Linked DNA regions of Saccharomyces cerevisiae S288C. The protein of the gene in region 2 binds, or shares a complex with, the protein of the main gene of each other region. Each region holds a gene or a part of one and is shown on either strand. Other genes may lie near its edges. The genes, in order: COX9 and COX6. A codon is read from its position in the direction of its gene.

What was found.
Region 1: the proteins of COX6 (region 2) and COX9 are in contact, whole or in part, in a cryo-EM structure (PDB 7Z10), measured with the Saccharomyces cerevisiae proteins. Residues at the interface, in NP_011918.1 of Saccharomyces cerevisiae: Phe49 (codon at 2,931), Asp80 (codon at 2,838), Leu81 (codon at 2,835), Val82 (codon at 2,832), Pro85 (codon at 2,823), Glu116 (codon at 2,730), Gln120 (codon at 2,718), Ala123 (codon at 2,709), Tyr124 (codon at 2,706), Glu127 (codon at 2,697); in NP_010216.1 of Saccharomyces cerevisiae: Thr2 (codon at 1,076), Ile3 (codon at 1,073), Pro5 (codon at 1,067), Ile6 (codon at 1,064), Thr7 (codon at 1,061), Gly8 (codon at 1,058), Thr9 (codon at 1,055), Ile10 (codon at 1,052), Lys11 (codon at 1,049).

The regions. Positions count from the first base shown.
Region 1 is NC_001136.10:333,318-339,454, forward strand, and holds COX9 (cytochrome c oxidase subunit VIIa), read right to left. Parts: upstream 1,080-6,137; coding exon 900-1,079; downstream 1-899. Other genes in the region: CBS1 (Cbs1p), read right to left, coding at 1-493; isocitrate dehydrogenase (NADP(+)) IDP1, read left to right, coding at 1,518-2,804; PEX19 (Pex19p), read right to left, coding at 2,932-3,960; E2 SUMO-conjugating protein UBC9, read left to right, coding at 4,170-4,207, 4,318-4,753; SYO1 (Syo1p), read right to left, coding at 4,955-6,137. UniProt on the Saccharomyces cerevisiae protein: Component of the cytochrome c oxidase, the last enzyme in the mitochondrial electron transport chain which drives oxidative phosphorylation.
Region 2 is NC_001140.6:206,460-212,779, reverse strand, and holds COX6 (cytochrome c oxidase subunit VI), read right to left. Parts: upstream 3,076-6,320; coding exon 2,629-3,075; downstream 1-2,628. Other genes in the region: metallothionein CUP1-1, read left to right, coding at 60-245; YHR052C-B (uncharacterized protein), read left to right, coding at 88-261; CIC1 (Cic1p), read right to left, coding at 802-1,932; YHR050W-A (uncharacterized protein), read right to left, coding at 3,135-3,305; divalent metal ion transporter SMF2, read right to left, coding at 3,477-5,126; FSH1 (putative serine hydrolase), read right to left, coding at 5,587-6,318. UniProt on the Saccharomyces cerevisiae protein: Component of the cytochrome c oxidase, the last enzyme in the mitochondrial electron transport chain which drives oxidative phosphorylation.

The DNA.
Region 1 (6,137 bases), on a different chromosome or scaffold from region 2:
GTATTCGCAAATGAGCTAATTGGTTAATTTTCAACGAATTCTTGATAAGCCAGCTTATCGAGTCCATGTTCACTACTCGAGCTCGATCTAAGTTATGAATGTAATTGAAGTTTTTGTTCATTATATTAAACTGATTGAAATTCGTAAATGTTATTGTAAGCATCTTATTAATTTCCAAGTGAATGAGCTGTTCACCCAATTTTTGTAAAGTTTCGTTTCTTGTTTCAAATGTATTTCCTGTGCTCAAGTCTCCAGTCATTGGTACTCGTACCAACATATTCCTGCTTGTGGTATATAGCAGTTTAGTTAGTTCTTTAGTCGGTATGCGTTCCTTTCCTTTATATCCGTCAGGATTAACTTCAAGGACTTCACACAGTTTTTCTATCTTACTAATATTCTTTTTCGTCACCGTGTTTATAGTTCTGATGGGAATATACCTGCGAATCCCAGATATTCGAGCAACAGTAGTTGCAAACACTTTTGTCCTCAACATGTCGAGATTCATTATCTGATTTATTCTTTTATCCTGCTATAAAGAAACCATAGAAGAATAGAAGCAAAGGGGTAGTACGTGGCACCTCCTAAAGGTAATATTGTACTATTCCTAGTTCACTCAAGGTCTGCCTGTCTTATTCTCCACATACATTTTCTATAACTCTTTTTTTAAGTTTGTTTTTATTTTAGTTTGACACTACATAAATATGTAAAACTATTTTTTCAAATTATACAAATAGAAAATTATGATAAAGGTCAAAAAGAAAGAAAAGAATGACTTGTCTGTTTTCCTTCCCTACAAACTCTTGCAAAAGTAATCAATCGAGGCCAGCACAGAAAAAAAATAAAAGATAAATAAATAGGAATAAGAATATAATGCGAAAAACAATAGTGGTCAGGTTCGGTCAGTTCTCTTGCTTTTTCCTCTCAGCTAGCTCTGCGTAGAACTTCTCTCTCTTGTTAATCTTATCCATGTGGAATCCCCACCACCAGTAAGAGGCCATGACACCCCCGAGGGAGAACCCGAGGACGATGTCCATGATGACTCTTCTCTTGATCGTACCAGTAATTGGAGCAATAGTCATGTCTGTGTAAGTCGCTTGTAGTTAGTAGTTTGCAAATATCTTGCTTGCTCTAATTCTCGGTCCTAATTTTCCCTGAAGATAAGAGTCTCTTTCATCGATTCTTTTAATACCACAGGAACAAAGCGGGCATCGTGGTAGCGGGCCAATCAGGTTGCAGTAAATGAAGAGATATAGAGGAGGACTCTGCTAAAGACCATAACAAGGGTCTGCAATGATCTTGGACTAAATAAAGGTGTCTTACAATCCAAAAGAGCTTGAATCATTCCTTTTATGAGCTAAATAGCACCGTTTGCACCTTCTGATAACGCTTTACGGGTCACGCGCGGATTTTGACTCACATAATTCCACTTGCCCATATAAAGAGGGACTCATATGATCTTATGAAATCTTCCTTCAAGCAATTGTGAGACAACAGACGCACAAGGAAGATCGCCCAGCATGAGTATGTTATCTAGAAGATTATTTTCCACCTCTCGCCTTGCTGCTTTCAGTAAGATTAAGGTCAAACAACCCGTTGTCGAGTTGGACGGTGATGAAATGACCCGTATCATTTGGGATAAGATCAAGAAGAAATTGATTCTACCCTACTTGGACGTAGATTTGAAGTACTACGACTTATCTGTCGAATCTCGTGACGCCACCTCCGACAAGATTACTCAGGATGCTGCTGAGGCGATCAAGAAGTATGGTGTTGGTATCAAATGTGCCACCATCACTCCTGATGAAGCTCGTGTGAAGGAATTCAACCTGCACAAGATGTGGAAATCTCCTAATGGTACCATCAGAAACATTCTCGGCGGTACAGTGTTCAGAGAGCCCATTGTGATTCCTAGAATTCCTAGACTGGTCCCACGTTGGGAAAAACCAATCATTATTGGAAGACACGCCCACGGTGATCAATATAAAGCTACGGACACACTGATCCCAGGCCCAGGATCTTTGGAACTGGTCTACAAGCCATCCGACCCTACGACTGCTCAACCACAAACTTTGAAAGTGTATGACTACAAGGGCAGTGGTGTGGCCATGGCCATGTACAATACTGACGAATCCATCGAAGGGTTTGCTCATTCGTCTTTCAAGCTGGCCATTGACAAAAAGCTAAATCTTTTCTTGTCAACCAAGAACACTATTTTGAAGAAATATGACGGTCGGTTCAAAGACATTTTCCAAGAAGTTTATGAAGCTCAATATAAATCCAAATTCGAACAACTAGGGATCCACTATGAACACCGTTTAATTGATGATATGGTCGCTCAAATGATAAAATCTAAAGGTGGCTTTATCATGGCGCTAAAGAACTATGACGGTGATGTCCAATCTGACATCGTCGCTCAAGGATTTGGCTCCTTAGGTTTGATGACTTCTATCTTAGTTACACCAGACGGTAAAACTTTCGAAAGTGAAGCTGCTCATGGTACCGTGACAAGACATTATAGAAAGTACCAAAAGGGTGAAGAAACTTCTACAAACTCCATTGCATCCATTTTCGCGTGGTCGAGAGGTCTATTGAAGAGAGGTGAATTGGACAATACTCCTGCTTTGTGTAAATTTGCCAATATTTTGGAATCCGCCACTTTGAACACAGTTCAGCAAGACGGTATCATGACGAAGGACTTGGCTTTGGCTTGCGGTAACAACGAAAGATCTGCTTATGTTACCACAGAAGAATTTTTGGATGCCGTTGAAAAAAGACTACAAAAAGAAATCAAGTCGATCGAGTAATCGAATTTACGTAGCCCAATCTACCACTTTTTTTTTTCATTTTTTAAAGTGTTATACTTAGTTATGCTCTAGGATAATGAACTACTTTTTTTTTTTTTTTTTTACTGTTATCATAAATATATATACCTTATTGTTGTTTGCAACCGTCGGTTAATTCCTTATCAAGGTTCCCCAAGTTCGGATCATTACCATCAATTTCCAACATTTTCATGAGTTCTTCTTCTTCATTACCGTGTTTTAGGGGGCTGTTCGCACTTCTAATAGGGCTATCACCAAGCTGTTCTAATTCGTCCAAAAGTTCAGTAACACGATCTTTATGCTTTAGCTCGTCATAATCTTTCAATTCATAAATATTTACAATTTCGTCTACGATATTAAATTGCCTCTTGTAGGTGCCTATCTTTTCCTTATGCTCTTCATTTTCACCGTTTTCTTGAAACCAAACACCGAACTCACTACGCATTTCTTTCATAGGCTCATATAATACTTCTTTTGACGTCATTTGATCAAGTATTTTTGTTATTGCGTCGTCCATCTCCCCATCTTTTAGATCAAATTGATTTTCTGCACTTTCTTTTCCACCAGATGCTACCATTTGATCTAATAATTGTGACAATATATCATCAATATTATTATTTTGGCCACTGCGTTGAGATTCCTTGGTTTCTTCGGCTAGGGATGTATCAACTTTATTACCATTTTCCTTTAACCTGTCTAGCGTATTGGAAACAATGTTTTTAAATCCCGGATTGCTACCATTCACGGTCCCTTTATCAGTGCTGTTACTTTTCAAACTACTACATCCTTGCTCCATCTGTTGATGAGGTACTTTAGCTGCCTCTTCTAGAGCACTAATCAGTTTATTAAAATCTTCTGTCTTCACATTATTCTCGTTACCGTTATTTTTCATCAAATTTGCGAACTCATTTTGCAAATCTACCATCATTTCTTTCAATTCTGGGTCCTCTTCAGATTCATTAGCTACCTGTACGCCATCACTGTCCTTACTTTCGGCATTCTTCTCTTTGTTTTCACTATCGTTGTACACAGAACCCTTCGCTTGCACATCATCGGGCTCTGCTTCATCCAGTTTAGTGGGATCTTCATCTAAAAGGTCATCCAAATCATCAAAATTATCGTACTCGTTTTCATTCATTACTTCGTGTTGTATGTTTGGCATTTCTTCTTTCCGTCAATACTTCGGTTCCCACAATTTGTAATTCTTTCTTCACTTTATATCTCTCAGAAACCGCGTTTAACATCTGGAAATTAAAAATTATTCCTGTCTCCATAACAAACATTTAAAAAAAGAAGAGAAATTTAGCATAGGATAAGCACACACTGGCACCATTTTTTGGAAGCAATATGAGTAGTTTGTGTCTACAGCGTCTTCAGGAAGAAAGGTAAGTAGTAGTTTTCCTCCTTTTATGCTTACATTCTGTAGGCATACACAATTTCATCCAGCGGTATACTAACAAATCGATGAACTTAACTTGTTTTACTTGAATAACAGAAAAAAATGGAGAAAGGATCATCCATTTGGATTTTATGCCAAACCAGTTAAGAAAGCTGATGGGTCCATGGATTTACAGAAATGGGAAGCTGGTATCCCAGGCAAAGAAGGTACAAACTGGGCGGGTGGTGTGTACCCAATTACAGTCGAATATCCAAATGAATATCCTTCAAAACCTCCAAAGGTTAAATTTCCAGCCGGATTTTATCATCCAAACGTGTATCCAAGTGGCACAATATGTTTAAGTATTTTAAATGAAGATCAAGATTGGAGACCCGCCATCACGTTAAAACAAATTGTTCTTGGGGTTCAGGATCTTTTAGACTCTCCAAATCCAAATTCCCCTGCTCAAGAGCCTGCATGGAGATCATTTTCAAGAAATAAGGCGGAATATGACAAGAAAGTTTTGCTTCAAGCTAAACAGTACTCTAAATAGAGGGAATCCATCTTTCCCATTCTTCCTCCTTTTGTACTTTATTTAACTAATGTCGTTGTGTAACAAAAATAGAGCAAAATAACATTATTTACAAATTCTCAAAAATAATTTTTTGCTCTTTGTTTCTTATGCTAAGTAAATAGAAAGATATTTTTTGTACCATTTTCTATAAGTATGGCAACTATATACACTTTAATAAATCTATTGGTTAGTAGAATTTTCATTCATTTTGTAGTGAATGAAACTATCCAACGTAGTAAAGCAATCATGGCATCTTTCTTTTAGTTCGGGATTTTTGTTTTTATCAACCATTTTGAATTGCTGCCTCAAATTTGGTACAACTTGGTCTTTTAGAATAGATAAAAATCCACCCCTTACAAATATTGGTTCATTATAGTCGTAAGAGGCATCCCCGTAAATTTGGAAAAGCGAATTTGTCATTTCTATCAAAATTTCAGGGCGAACATTCAACTGTGTTAAAGTTTGTATGAAGAACTGCCCAATCTCCTTATTTGCATCAATTTGTCCCTGAATCATAGCATATGTGCTTAGTACATTAATACATTTTTGTTGTAACTCAAGGTCATTATTATTTTGGAACTCTTCAATAATTCCCCTAGCGAATCCTGAATTGTTCAGCATTTGGACATTGATCAATGCTCGATTCTCACTTTCAAACGCTCCATCAGGAAAGATGAGTTTCAGAAGCGCCCAAATACAGCCCATTCTTCCTATTTTAATACTCAAATCATCTTGGCTGTCCAACTGTGTAACATAACTCCATAAGGTGGTTAACAACTCTCCAGAGAGCTCTGTTAGAGATAGAGACACAAAGAGCCAGATCAGATTGTTCCATCCGATCAATATTCGCGAGGTGAAGGTATCTTTCAAAATCATGAAAACGTGAGGTAAGAAATTTGTTAAGGTATTGATTAGCTCCTCTGGAATTGCTACTTCCTGTGATTCTGGTGATTCATATTTGGATGCAACTATCTCAATGATTGCGGTGATAAGATCAATTGCTATTTCAATGCTTTGCAATTTTATCATGGATTCGTTACGTTTCGCATTGTAATCCTTGATCTTAGTTATAACCTTACTGCTTTCATCTTTACTAGTAGCAGGTCCAATTTCTACAGGGTTATTAATGTCATTAACTAACTGTACTGGATCAATGTTATTAATGGAATGACATACAGAGTGGATCATTTTGTTACATTGATCATAAGTTATTTTCATGTCAAGGAATTGGCAATGGATACCTTCAATTAGAACTTTTGTTAATTCATTAGCTTGTGGATGTAAAGCCGGAGATAGCCCATTTAAGAACTGTGATAGAAGTTCATTGTTGGAAACATGATCAATAAATTCAAATGATTCGGAA
Region 2 (6,320 bases):
ATCGAAATAGATATTAAGAAAAACAAACTGTACAATCAATCAATCAATCATCACATAAAATGTTCAGCGAATTAATTAACTTCCAAAATGAAGGTCATGAGTGCCAATGCCAATGTGGTAGCTGCAAAAATAATGAACAATGCCAAAAATCATGTAGCTGCCCAACGGGGTGTAACAGCGACGACAAATGCCCCTGCGGTAACAAGTCTGAAGAAACCAAGAAGTCATGCTGCTCTGGGAAATGAAACGAATAGTCTTTAATATATTCATCTAACTATTTGCTGTTTTTAATTTTTAAAAGGAGAAGGAAGTTTAATCGACGATTCTACTCAGTTTGAGTACACTTATGTATTTTGTTTAGATACTTTGTTAATTTATAGGTATACGTTAATAATTAAGAAAAGGAAATAAAGTATCTCCATATGTCGCCCCAAGAATAAAATATTATTACCAAATTCTAGTTTGCCTAACTTACAACTCTGTATAGAATCCCCAGATTTCGAATAAAAAAAAAGCATATGTATTAATCCTAAAATGTATTATGAGAACGTCTTTTAAAGGTAAAATGCTGTTATCCCCGTCACTTTCAATGATCTATTTATTTGAAGCGGATAGTACAACAGATCAGTCTAAAACGTATAAGCTCTTAGACCGAGAAACCAATATTCAAATAATGACTTTATTTTTAATATACACTTCAAACATATATAGATATATACATATGCACCGCACTCTATGAAATTCAAATTTTTTTCTTCACAAGAAAAAAATGAGAGAAAAGATAGATAAGGAGGAAACAAATTAACTTTTAGCCTTCTTGACAGCTTCTGACTCGCTAGATTCTTTTTCAAGCTCGCTAGAAGATCTCTTTTTTGCATTGTTAATTTGTTTAGAGAAAATTGAACCCAATTCGGAAGGATTGGCGATTTCCATCAAACCCTTGTTGAAGGTAGACAAATGAACTTGTACACCATCAATGGTGACCATGTCATCTTCGTGGGTTTCTTCGATTTTGTCCTTTTTAGCTTCAAGTTCATCAAGAACGTCCTGGTTATAGTATAATGGCAATACGGGCGACCTATTGGTCTTGATAAAAATGGATCTGATTTGGTATGCTTTGATTAACTGTTCAGAAATTAATTCAACGTTATCTACAAACTCTTCTGGCCTTAACCATTCTAAATTACCCAAATGGACATTCAACGTGGTACCTCTTGGAAGTTTAACGGGCAACTGATTCATGTAAACCTTTTTGATATTGTTCGTCAAAGTGGTCAAGGAAAATTCCTTATTTGCATGTGTTCTAATTGATATAGGAGTAGTTTCTACTTTGTTGTAGGCTTTGCCTCCCATAAGTTTTGGCAAAGATGTAACTATACTGTCGTCAGCCAAAATCAAAGAAAACTGAGATATAAAAGCGTTTCTAGCCTCATATGCCTTGTAAACGGTCTTTAAGTCTTTCCCGCAAATGATTTCATCAACCTTGATTCCTTCTGAATCTAATTGATCAAATAAATCATCTTCTGAAACTTTCTTAATATCAGAATCCTTCAAAATTAATAAAACTTTGAAATCCTTAACCGCTGTTGCACTGGCTTCTTTCCAAGGCTTGTAAAACGAATGTTTGACATTTAGTAATTTCAATTTGAATGATTTGGAAGTACCGGTGAATGATTTATTATTTACTACGATTAATTGCAGATCTTTCTTCAATTCTTCTTCATCATCTTCCAATAGGTTTTTCTTACCGTTATTTCCTTCTTCATTATTTTCATCTTGTGGCTTGGAAGTGAATTTTATAAGCTCGTTGACAGCTTTAATAACTCTTTCCCTAGGAATGGCTGTGGAAGATTTCTTTTCAATAACCTTCTTCTTTTCTTTGCTTGGTGTACTTACAGGCGTAGATTTCTTTGAGTTACTCTTTTTAGCCATTTTATACTTTATAGTCTGGAACGTAGGTTTATCTGCCTGCTGTCTAATATTTCTTATAAAACAGACACTATTCTTTATGCAGTATACAAACGCTTTTTGTTACTTTTCAAAATTTGCGATGAGCTCCAGTGGAAAAATTTTTTTCAGGAAATTGTCTTTAATTTTTTTAGTATGAAGTGACATCAACTTCACATTTATTGACGCAACGGTGAAGCACAGAATAGAATAGTAATTCTTTAATGGTATATTCTAGGTTTTTGTTTTTTATATAGTTATTTATTGTTTTATTATTTTTCCCATTCTTCTTTCCTGAAATAGAACACAAAAAAGCTACTAACAAAGGATATTAAAGGTAATCTGTGACCAGCCCTCATTACCAAAAATAAAGTTTGTTCAAGTAATAGAGTAGAGAAAACAAAGTGGAAATCATAATGGTTAAATTTAAATATTTTTCTTTTACTTTTCTTATTTCACCTCTTGTGATCTTATCGTTGATTTTGATATATTAGTTTCTGAGTGGATGAATATCCATAAAGGGTAAAACAAATAATAAGGTAAAAGGGAAGAAAAAAAAAAAATAAAAACTAAAATCGTTTTACAAAATAAATACGAATCTTATTTCAAATTGAGGAATTTTCCACAAATAAAAAAAGGACAACAAATTACAGACGTTGTGTGGTAGCTTTTTCCTTATTATTAAGAAGAGCTTGGAAATAGCTCTTCCTTTAAGGGAACGCCCAATTCTTGTCTGACATCCTTCAATTCATCCAAGTAGGCCTTGTATTGGTCTTCATTCTCCACCTTGTATTTCAAAGCCTCAAATACTCTAATTGCGGTAGGTAAGTCATTGACTCTTCTGGCAGCCCTCAAAGCTTTTTCAATAACAGCAGGAGCAGGAACTAAATCATAGGAAAAACAGTTGTTGAGCACTCTTTGCACTTCAAACAAATCATAGGCTTCATCAAACTCCTTTTCGTATCTTGCGGTGAATTCCTCAAAGGTTTCTTCATCATGTGCGTCAGAATACTTCCTACTTTGAATAAACGTATTTTTAGTCAATCTAGTTGCATGATAAGCACCAGGTCTGGCTCTCAATAAAGTTCTATTTATAACTGGATTTCTGAATATGGCCCTTGATAACATTGTTGTATATTTATTAGTTTATGTGTCAAATACAATTGTTCGGCTGTTTATCTCCGCTACTAAGTCTCAGAAGTGATACAATTTTTCAAATTGTAATAATAAATAAGTGTGCTAAAATGTGGATGAAATGTAAAGAAATGAGGTAACCTTGAGATCTGGCACCTTGATAAGCAAGAGCAATTGTTGATCTTTATTAATGCTTTGACCGGACCAATTAGGTCCCTTTTCATAGGGAGATTCAAAGAAAGCTGTAAGCGGCGGAAATAACGCGCGGGGCCCTGATTGGCTCGTATGGAGCGATACGGCCATCAGTATAGCCTAACACCAACTTTTTGATTGGAATTTTCTGTTATTATTCTTGGATAAAATGTATACTTATACTAGTCTAAAGAATTGTTATATTAGAGGTGTACTTCTTTGCCCGTAGTAAAGCCCAGTAACATATAAAAGTTCAGTCCGGAGATAATCAACCATACTATGATTGCGAGCACGGTGACGATCATTCCATTGCTCATGTCTTTGTATTCTGGAGCAGGAGAAACTAAGCTGCGCTCCTGTGAGCTGCTGCCTATGCCCATTTCTTCGAGCTCAATGGTCTCATCATCTTCGGTTCGGTCGGCCACGGGTTTTTTGTCTGTAGTTCTTGAAAGTTCTTTGGTACGGTTAAGCTGTACACGCATAATCTTCTTGCTTGAAGTGAAGTAAAGTAAAGGTGCAGAAACAAAAGGCAGCAAGAGAGAAAGTACCACTTGGGAAGCATTTAGTGCACCAGAGAGGCCGCTACGTCCAGCTACAAGCACTAAAATCAAACAAGGCGTGATGGCTACCGCTCTTGTGGCGGATCTTCTCAATGCCGGAGAAACAGTCCAATTTAAGAACCCTTCACTAACCATTTGTCCACTCAACGTACACACGATACCGGCACTCTGTCCTGAAAACAACAATGCCAGCACGAATACCGTTCCCGCTCCCTTGGAAAGAGTACTACAGAGTAAGTTGTAAATAGAAAATAAGTCAGCTTCCTCAGCATTTTGAGTGGACCCGTATAGTGTAGCGCCAGACACGATAAGAATGGCACAATTGACAAATAATGCCACCGTGAACAGCGAGATCAGTAATTCCGTTATAGTAAAGTGCAGAGTTTCACTGATGGCCTCATAGGATGGCCTGTAATTATCGTGATTGTTATCCATATCATTCGCGTCTGGCAAGTAATGTCCGTTTTTGATATCATACTCTCTTAATCTTGGTTGAACCACACCTGACCCCAAATATAATGAATGAGGCATTACCGTGGCGCCCAGAATTGCCAGACTTAAGTATAACCCATCACCTTCAAAAACGGCTTTACTGGGTAAGAACCCAGAAAATATTTCTTTGGCAGGTCCCAGTTTGGCATAAAACAGTTCAACAGTAAAGCAAACTACGGTAAGAACCACCAATAAAGAAACAAAAGCTTCAAATATTCTGATACCCTTCATGGAACCGTTAGGTTTGTAAGCTAGCAGAACAATTAAAACGTCTACCACAGTAAGTATCACACCTAGGGCGAGAGGTATATGGAAAAGGATATTCAAAGAAATAGCGGTTCCTACCACTTCTGCCAGATCTGTGGCAATAATTGCCATCTCCGCCAGAATATAAAGAGTAATGTTAAGTCCAAAGGGCAAATGTTTCTTACAATTTTGTGCCAGATCTAGGCCAGTGACAGCACCCAATCTGGCGCAGAGGTACTGCCAAAAAGCAGCCATGAAATTAGAAACTAAGACAGAAAATAAAAGCTTGTACCGATGAGCAGAACCCGCTGCTACAGCTGTACTATAGTTACCAGGATCCATGTACGATACAGATACCATCAAACCAGGACCGATGAACCTAGCATATTTTCTCAATGTTCCGATCATGCTCTGGGATGTTGAGTTTGGCTGCAAAGTTGTTCTTCGACGCGACTCATGAGTGGTATTCACGTCGGCATACGCATCGTTGACACTATCATTATTTGTTTGGGATTCATCGCTCCATTGAATAGGTTCATATTCTTGGGACGTCATCAAACATAAACGCTATACGGAAAATTAGTGGTTAAATGGCAATAGAGATGTGCTAATATTAGTATCAAAACAAATAGTTGTTGAAGAGGGTTTTCTAAACGGTTAAACGCGTTTGATGGTTAAATGACTAGAAGCAAAAGGAGACTGATTCTGAAATTTAATATGATTTCTTTTTTTTCTGCTGTTTCTCTTCTGCATTATTTTCTTCCTTCGAGAAAGAGTATAAGTATGTTTAAAAAGGTCTTCGTAAGCCACGCTAAAGCACCCCGGGTGGATTTTTCGCGCCGGGCGGGGTTAGCAGCACGCAGGATGGAAGAGAAGAGAAAGGATGCTACAAACTTGTGGTTCATTCTATACAAAGTACTTATATGTATATATACATACTCGATCAGCATTTCACTCCACACACCCTGCGTGTGATAGTAAAAAGCTAGAAAGCAGGTAAGCAACAACCTACGATTTATTCAGAAGCTTCTTGTAAGGAAGAGGTTATTTGTTCAACAATTGGTCTGATAATGTCCTTCTTGTTTGGAACCATATGTCCACCAGGGTGTTCGTAAGCCAACACCTTTTCCTTATTACCATTTTGCGCCTTCAAATAAATATCGTACAGGTACTTGGATCTGACGGATGGGACGGCTTGGTCAGAAGCACCATAGATGAAGATCATCTTGGTCTTCATGTCTGGTTTTACCGCAAATGAGTCTCTGAATTTTTCGGTTATTCTCAATTCTCCAGGATGTTCTGGGTCTGGCTCGGTGAAGGAATAGCCGGAAATGACTACACTTACCTTGAATTGTGGATGGTCTGGAACTAACTCTGAGATCTTGTTGGTGATGATAGAGGACAATGCGGCACCTTGAGAGAAACCGACAATGCCGTCGTATGGGCCATTGGCCTTGATGTGATCAACAACAGACTTCAAACCTTCTGAGATATCCAATTCGTGAGAGATTTCGCTGTGATAGAACCAGGCTCTGTTAACATCCGCATCTAGGGTGGCTTGCCATTTTTCATCATCCATTTCAAATGGCAAGTCCTTCTTTTCTAAAAGGACTGGTGCATCAATATAGTCACATTGGACATTAGCCTTCTTCAATAATTTTCTAATACCAGATGATTTTTCGGAGAAAACTTTACCGTTTTGCAAGAAGCCGTGTAAAAATAATAATTTTGGAATTTGTACAGTCATCC